Macaca mulatta: one gene and its partner. The protein of the gene in region 2 interacts with the protein of the main gene of each other region in a biochemical or structural test. Links are inferred from orthologs where the notes say so. Each region holds a gene or a part of one and is shown on either strand. Other genes may lie near its edges.

Region 1 (4,187 bases), on a different chromosome or scaffold from region 2:
CAGGTCACAAGTCTCGAGGGTTTCTAGACTTCCAGTAAGTACAGTTGTCTTTTACGCTACAAATCAATGACAACAAATTGGGAATCACCAAGCCATTTTACAATAGAGTAAATTCAATTCACCTGCTGCTTGTACTGCTCTAGGAATGAAAACACAAGCTCTCTTTCCCAAACTTACTAGGTTGGTGCAAAGGTGACTGTGGTTTTGGCAAAAAAAAACCCCACCAAAACCTAACATTTTGTTTTCTCTAATCCATCCTCATATCCAGTACAGACTGATTTACCCTTGCAAAACACTTCACTCTGATATCTGTTAATGATCCCTCAGGCCATCGCTACTTGTTTATTCCAACAGTATCACAGGCAGTTTCCTGATTTAACTCTTCTAAACTTTTCTCACTTACAATAAAATGCTGCAAATCTGGGCTTTGGTATGAATATTCTTTAAAGTTCTCTAGTTCTTTTTCATGCTGGTCCACTTACTCCACCGCATTTTTGAAATATAAAACTTGAAACAAGCAGAATTTTCATGGGTACTAATGAGTTTGAAGATGGGAAAATGGAAGCTCCAACCTTGACCCTGAATGCACTTTCCCCATTTCCCTAAACAAAGTAACATCTGACCTTCTATTTCCCACATCCCACTAAAGCAACAAATTCCGGGAAATTGTCTACCTGACTTCCTGTACCCCAAACATCAATTCACTACTGTAATATTATGGTAGTTGCCATAGAATAATCATAGCTAGCCAAGAGGTCCAAGGCCCTTATAACACATTTAATGCACTGAAACCACACAACAGCAGGCAACAATAGACTACTGCCTTGGGCCAGGTGCTGTTCAAAGCACTTAACATATATTAAATAACTAATTAATCCTCACAACCTTATGAGTAAATACAATTATTGTTGCTATTTTACCAATAAGAAAACCGAGACACAGCTAGTGGAATTAGCCAGAGAGTCTGGCTCCAGAGTTCATGGTCTGTCATTACATGTATATTTCCACTATGCACATAATAATTTTTTGGAGATGAGAGTAGGCAACCAAAACTGTGGGTTCTTTTTTTTTCCTCCTAAGAAGTGAAGGGGAAGTGATTCCTCACAGTTGACTGAATAGGTGGTGAAATAAAGAACTTAGACCTCCAACTCCCACCACCTTCCCTAAGTTAACCCACTGCTCAACACACAACTTGACCAGCTGACTCACTAAAAAGAAATTGGAGGCTCCTTTTTCTAGACTAACTTAGCCTGCCATTTTCCTTTACAGTCAGTCTCTCAGGACCTAATTAAAAACTGACAGTTGATGATTTCTTTTCCTAAACTAGAACAAGGAATCTCACAAAATTAGGAAGGAATGAAAAGTTAAACACCTCAGCCATTAGCTGAGTTGAACTATCTTTTATTTGCTTATTATTAAAAAAGTTAGGGTAATAAATTGATACTGTATTCTTCTTTCCTGCTTAAGGCTTGGCTTTAAATTTAAGCTGCTTCTCTTTGATTCAGTGGCATAATGCGCTAAATGTTTTACCTAGATTATGTTCATTAATCTTCACAACCCAGAAAAATAGGTGTAATTTTTCATACTTTAAAACGAGAAAACTGACGCTTTACAGAATTAAATTACTTGCTGTACATTACACAGATATTTTATGTGTGTGAAGTTACTGGGGCAATTTAGACGATTCGTGGCATAAAGATAACTGCTGGAAAACTTACAAACATAGGAGTGCAACAATCAGGCAGAGAACGAAATAGAAGGGTTGGGTAGTCCCCTTTTAATATGCTACAGTTAGATTCTCAAGGTACAAGAGTTTGTCTATATACTTTGGAAATAAGGAGCAGGATTTTATGATCTTGAAAAATCTCTTTCAATTTTCTTATTCTCTAACGACACATCTATTCCATTTGGCAATGCTAAAAATTATCCTTTATTAGGGTGGCCAATGACTAAGCCAGCAATTGGGAAGCAGCTTACACCACTGGGCCTCTGTAGCACTCACTTCCCCATCTGGTAAGACAGCCATGGCCATTTTTCCAGTGGAATTTCTACTGTCTTCCCGCTGGCTCCTTTCTGATGTAGCAGTCCTTATCCCTTTTTCTCCAGCAGCCTACAGTTTTAGAAAAGCAGCCCCAATTGGCTGAAAGGCCTAATGCTTAAAGAACTCAAGAGAGAAGGAGCCTCAGAGAAGTAGCGGCTTTGTCCCAAGAGCGGAAGCTCCCCACGAGGAACACATGATAATCCGTCCATCAGCCATTCTTATCCATATCACAGTCGCATCCCCCTCAAACCTCTCCCAGGGTGCTAGAAATTCTCGCTCTGTCCAGTGTCCCGACTTTCCAAGTGCTTGGAGCCATACCTTCTCCAAATGATGCCACTTGACCTCCCACCGTGATGCAGGCCAAAATTCCTCCTACAAATAAATCCACGAACACCTCCAACGGACTCCATACTTGGGGTTATCTTCCTTTCCCTGCTTTCCAAGTATCGTAAATCCCCTCTCTGGTTTTGGAAGTCCTTTCTCCCTCACACCTTTCGGAACTCCGTGACTCTCCGCCCCCACGCCTCCGCCTCTATTCTACTCTTAGGGCTCCTCAGCCAGATCTTTGGCTAGAACCATGGTCAAGGGAGCCATTGCGATCCCGGCTCCTGTCATAGACGCTTAAGTGTGAGCGCACCCCAGCCCGCCTCCTCCTCCACGCCCCTCACACTCACGTGTCGCGGGGAACTGGAGCAGCCAAAGCTCAGAATCCCCCGTGAATACCCGTCTGGGGATGGGAGACGGGGCCAGCTAGGGGCCGGCCGCAGACCCCGGTCCCAGAGCTAGTTTCAGAGGCCAGCGTTCCCCCTAGCGCCTGGATGTGCCCCACTCCGGGAACCGGAAACAGGAAGCGCCAAGAGGCCGCTGGGCAACCGCTCCTCCCACCAGACCCCGCAGCATGTGACCAAAGAACAATTTCGCCCCTTTCCCCTTCCCGGTCTCCCTGGGATTTTAGCTCCGCCCTCGTTCCATCAGCTCCAATCACTATCGAGGTTGTCTAGTTTCGCCTTTTCTGGTTGCCTTTCTTCCAATGGGGTCCCAAAGTCCCGCTTCCAGGGCCTCTCGGCTTGCGCGCCCCGGTCACGCGGGGTCACGCGCCGGACCGCTCCCGGGTAGGGTCCGAGTGAAGAAAGTGCGAGGGGCAGGTGGCGGAAGCGGAAGTTACGCAGGCAGCTCGCCCTCGGGCTCGGCGGGAGTTGTAGTTCTCACGCTAGGTCTCCTCCGAGCGCTTTCCTAGACCGTTCGCCGCCTGAGAGGGACGCTGTTCCGCCGCGTGCAAACTTCAAATCTAGACTCCACTGTCGACTCCTAGACGAGAGTAGTGCAGCGACGGGGCCATGTGCGTCCTGGCTTTCTTAACGACATCACTCCTATGTATTTCCTTTTCCCAGTTGAGTACCTTGGGGTGAATTATTATTGTTACTGTTACCTCTGTCGTTGCTTACTGCCTCGTGGTATTTTACTTGATAAGCATGCTCTGCAACCACCTCTGTTCGCCAGAGGTTACTTCTGCAAAGTAGGAAGAAACGAGCAACACGATGGTAATCTTTGTGCCTTTGCTAAGATCTTTAGCAGGTTCCTTGTGTCTTACTAGCCACTTGTTGAAGTCCTGCTCGTTCTTAAACTCTGTTCAAACGTTATTTCTCCTGTAACTTCCTGCATTCACTCTCTTCAGAATTAACCATTTCTTCCTGTGGACCCCCGCTTGTGGCTTGTAGCTGGCTTTAGCATGTTTTCATTCCGCTTCCACTCTTACGTTGCTTTTATGTGTGGCTCTACGCAGATGCCTGGATTTTTTATTCTTACCCCTCTCATTAGAACTACTACAGTGTTTTGAGTCTAATAATAATAAAAGAGAACGGATGCATATCTCGGTGGTGCACGGCACTTTTGTAAGTGCTTTAAGCGATAGTTAATTCACTTGGTCTTCACACCAACCTTATGAGGAAGTATGTTATCCCAAGTTTACAGATGAGTAAATTAAAGCAGATAGAAGCTAAGTAACACCGTGGGTCCCACAGCTATTAAGTTATCGAGCCAGTATTTAAATAGTCTCCATAATCAATGCTTTCAAGCACTACGCTGTACCTACTGTATGCCATTCTGCATTTCTTCGTTTGTTAGTAACACATTCAGTTCAGGCTAG
Region 2 (3,645 bases):
GGCTGGTCTTGAACTCCTGACCTCAGGTGATCCGCCCGCCTCGGCCTCCCAAAGTGCTGGGATTACAGGCGTGAGCCACCACACCCGGCCTATATTCCTGACTTTTAACAAGGAAAAAAAAAATTCTGTGGGGGAGAACTTTCCTGAAAAAATATTTTTCTGGACATCTCTCTCTACTGACTGATAGGGAGAGGCTCAGAACACGCTTCCTCCAAGCTCAGAGGGACTGAGAGATTGGTCAGCTGGGTGATGCCTCAGTTTTGAGACCCTTAGCTTCCCAAGCAGACAGCACAGAAGAGCTGGTGGAGTGGCCAGAAAATCGGTTTGAAAGGAGCCCTGGGTTGAAGACTCCAGAGCAGAGCTGCAGCATAGACGGGGCCCGCTGCGTCCTGTCCTCTCCCCCTACTTCTTCTCCTCTGGGGCTTTCTCAGTGATTCCGGGGGCAAAGGGTCCCACGAGCCACGTGACAGGTGTGTTCTGGGCCACGTATTCCACCATGTGGTCCAGAGCCTCGCGGGCGCTGGTGACGCGCTCTCGGCTCTGGGCCAGGATGCTGCTGGACAGGTCCTGGAAGGAGTGGATGCTGGAAAAGGTAGCTTGGAGGTCCTCCACCTGGCGGCGGGCCTGCTGTACCTGGTCCTTCACATTGGTGGGGAGGCCCTGAATGCTGGACCCCAGGGAGGTACAGGTGGCCTGCAGCTGCTGGGCAATGTCCCGGAACATGGTGAGCGCCCGGGACTCGACCTGCTGAGAAGGGAGGTAGGGACACCAATCAGGACCATTTGTTTCAGGAAAGGCAACCGGAGCTGAAGCCAGGGAAAGAGGGGTTCTACCACTAACCTTGGGGAAAACCCTTTCCATAGGTGAAATTTTTTTTTTTTTTTTTTTTTTTTTGAGACAGAGTCTCATCCTGTCGCCCAGGCTGGAGTGCAGTGGCGCGATCTCGGCTCACTGAAAGCTCCGCCTCCCGGGTTCACACCATTCTCCTGCCTCAGCCTCCTGAGTAGCTGGGACTACAGGTGCCCGCCACCACAGCCGGCTAATTTTTTGTATTTTAGTAGAGACGGGGTTTCACCATGTTAGCCAGGATGGTCTCCATCTCCTGACCTCGTGATCCACTCGCCTCGGCTTCCCAAAGTGCTGGGATTACAGGCGTGAGCCACCGAGCCCGGCTCTTTTTTTTTTCTTTTTTTTTTGAGATAAGAGCCTTGCTCTGTTGCCCAGGCTGGAATACAGTGGCATGATTTTGGCTCACTGCAACCTCCGCCTCCTGGGTTCAAGCGATTCTCTTGCCTCAGCCTCCCAAGTAGCTGGGACTACAGATGCATGCCACCACGCCCGGCTAAATTTTATTTTTAGTATAGATGGGGCTTCACCATGTTGGCCAGGCTGGTCTTGAACTCTTTACCTCAAGTGATCTGCTCTCCTCAGCCTCCCAAAGTGCTGAGATTACAGGCATGGGCCACCGCGCCCAGCCTCTTTTCTTTTAATTAGAAACAGGATAGGCCGGGCGCAGTGGCTCAAGCCTGTAATCCCAGCACTTTGGGAGGCCGAGACGGGCGGATCACGAGGTCAGGAGATCGAGACCATCCTGGCTAACCCGGTGAAACCCCGTCTCTACTAAAAAATACAAAAAAACTAGCCGGGCGAGGTGGCGGGCGCCTGTAGTCCCAGCTACTCGGGAGGCTGAGGCAGGAGAATGGCGTGAACCCGGGAGGCGGAGCTTGCAGTGAGCTGAGATCCGGCCACTGCACTCCAGCCTGGGCGACAGAGCGAGACTCCATCTCAAAAAAAAAAAAAAAAAAAGAAACAGGATCTCACCCTGTCGCCCAGGCTGGAATGCAGTGGTGTGATCATAGCCTACTGCAGCCTCTAATTTCTGAGCTCAAGTTATCCTCTCATTTCAGCCTCCTGAGTAGCTGGGACTACAGGCACTCACTACCATGCCCAGCTACATTTTTAAAATTTTCTGTAGAGCCAGGATCTCACTAAGTTGCCCAGATCTTAAACCCCTGGGCCCAAGTGATCTGCCCACTTCAGCCTCCCAAAATGGTGGATTTACAGGCATGAGCCATTGCATTCGGCCACTAGTCAAATTTAGAAGATATAGGGAGAGCACATGAAAAGCTGCTTGACATTGTAAGTCATTAAGGAAATGCAAATCAAAATCATAAGGAGCCCTGGCATGGTGGCTCATGCCTGTAATCCCAGCACTTTGGGAGGCTGAGGCGGGTGGATCACCCGAGGTCAGGAGTTCAGCCTGACCAACGTGGTGAAACCCTCATCTGTACTAAAGATACAGTTACTGTGGAAAACAGTCTAGCGGTTTCTCAAAATGTTAAACCATAGAATTATCACATGACTCAGCAATTCTAGTTGTGGGTGTATACACAAGAGAAACGGAAACACACGTCCACACACAGCGGCAAGGCAAAAAGTGGAAACAGGCCGGGCGCGGTGGCTCAAGCCTGTAATCCCAGCACTTTGGGAGGCCGAGACGGGCGGATCACGAGGTCAGGAATCAAGACCATCCTGGCTGACACGGTGAAACCCCGTCTCTACTTTAAAAATACAAAAAACTAGCTGGGCGAGGTGGCGGCGCCTGTAGTCCCAGCTACTCGGGAGGCTGAGGCGGGAGAATGGCGTAAACCCGGGAGGCGGAGCTTGCAGTGAGCTGAGATCCGGCCACTGCACTCCAGCCTGGGCGGCAGAGCGAGACTCCGTCTCAAAAAAAAAAAAAAATAAATAAATAAAAGTGGAAACAACTCAAGTGTCGTTCGGTTGATGAATGGGTGAAGAGAATGTGATCCACCCATACAACAGAATGCAACTCAACCACGGAAAGTCACAGGGATCTGACGCAGGCCACAGCGTGGATGAGCTCCAAGGACGTCACACTCAGTGTGAGAAGCCAGACACAAAAGGCCAAACAGGGTGGGATCCCATTTCTATGAAATGTCCAGGGCAGGCCCATCCACAGAGACAGGAGGGGATACGTGGTCGGGAAGAGGAGAAAATGGGGCAGTGATTGCTGATGGGAAAAGGGTTTCTTTTTAGGGGCATGAGATGAGATAGGGATAGTTGTGCAATGCTACCAGTGATGTGTATGCTTTTTTTTTTTTTTTGAGACGAAGTCTCGCTCTGTGGCCCAGGCTGGAGTGCAGTGGCGCGATCTCTGCTCACTGCAAGCTCCGCCTCCCGGGTTCACGTCATTCTCCTGCCTCAGCCTCCCGAGTAGCTGGGACTACAGGCGCCCGCCACCACGCCCGACTAATTTTTTGTATTTTTAGTAGAGACGGGGTTTCACTGTGTTAGCCAGGATGGTCTCGATCTCCTGACCTCATGATCCACCTGCCTCGGCCTCCCAAAGTGCTGGGATTACAGGCGTGAGCCACCGAGCCTGGCCGATGTGTATGCTTTAAATGCATGAGTTGTATGGTATGAAAATGATATCTCAATAAAACTGTTAAAAAAAAAAAAAAAAAGGCTGGGCGCGGTGGCTCACACCTGTAATCCCAGCACTTTGAGAGGCCAAGGTGGGCAGATCATGAGGTCAGGAGATTGAGACCATCCTGGCTAACATGGTGAAACTCCGTCTCTATTAAAAATACAAAAAAATTCGCCGGGCGTGGTGGCGGGCGCCTG

What was found. The genes of interacting proteins can lie anywhere in the genome.
Region 1: the proteins of PLIN3 (region 2) and M6PR form a complex in vitro, tested with the Homo sapiens proteins (2 studies listed by BioGRID). The link is inferred for Macaca mulatta from reciprocal best matches to the Homo sapiens genes PLIN3 and M6PR.

The regions. Positions count from the first base shown.
Region 1 is NC_133416.1:11,649,682-11,653,868, reverse strand, and holds the start of M6PR (cation-dependent mannose-6-phosphate receptor), read right to left. Parts: upstream 2,894-4,187; 5' UTR 2,452-2,893; coding exon 2,360-2,451; intron 57-2,359; exon of another isoform or gene 1-56. UniProt on the Homo sapiens protein: Transport of phosphorylated lysosomal enzymes from the Golgi complex and the cell surface to lysosomes.
Region 2 is NC_133424.1:5,694,598-5,698,242, forward strand, and holds part of PLIN3 (perilipin-3), read right to left. Parts: intron 1,141-3,645; exon of another isoform or gene 869-1,140; intron 748-868; coding exon 403-747; 3' UTR 1-402. UniProt on the Homo sapiens protein: Structural component of lipid droplets, which is required for the formation and maintenance of lipid storage droplets. Required for the transport of mannose 6-phosphate receptors (MPR) from endosomes to the trans-Golgi network.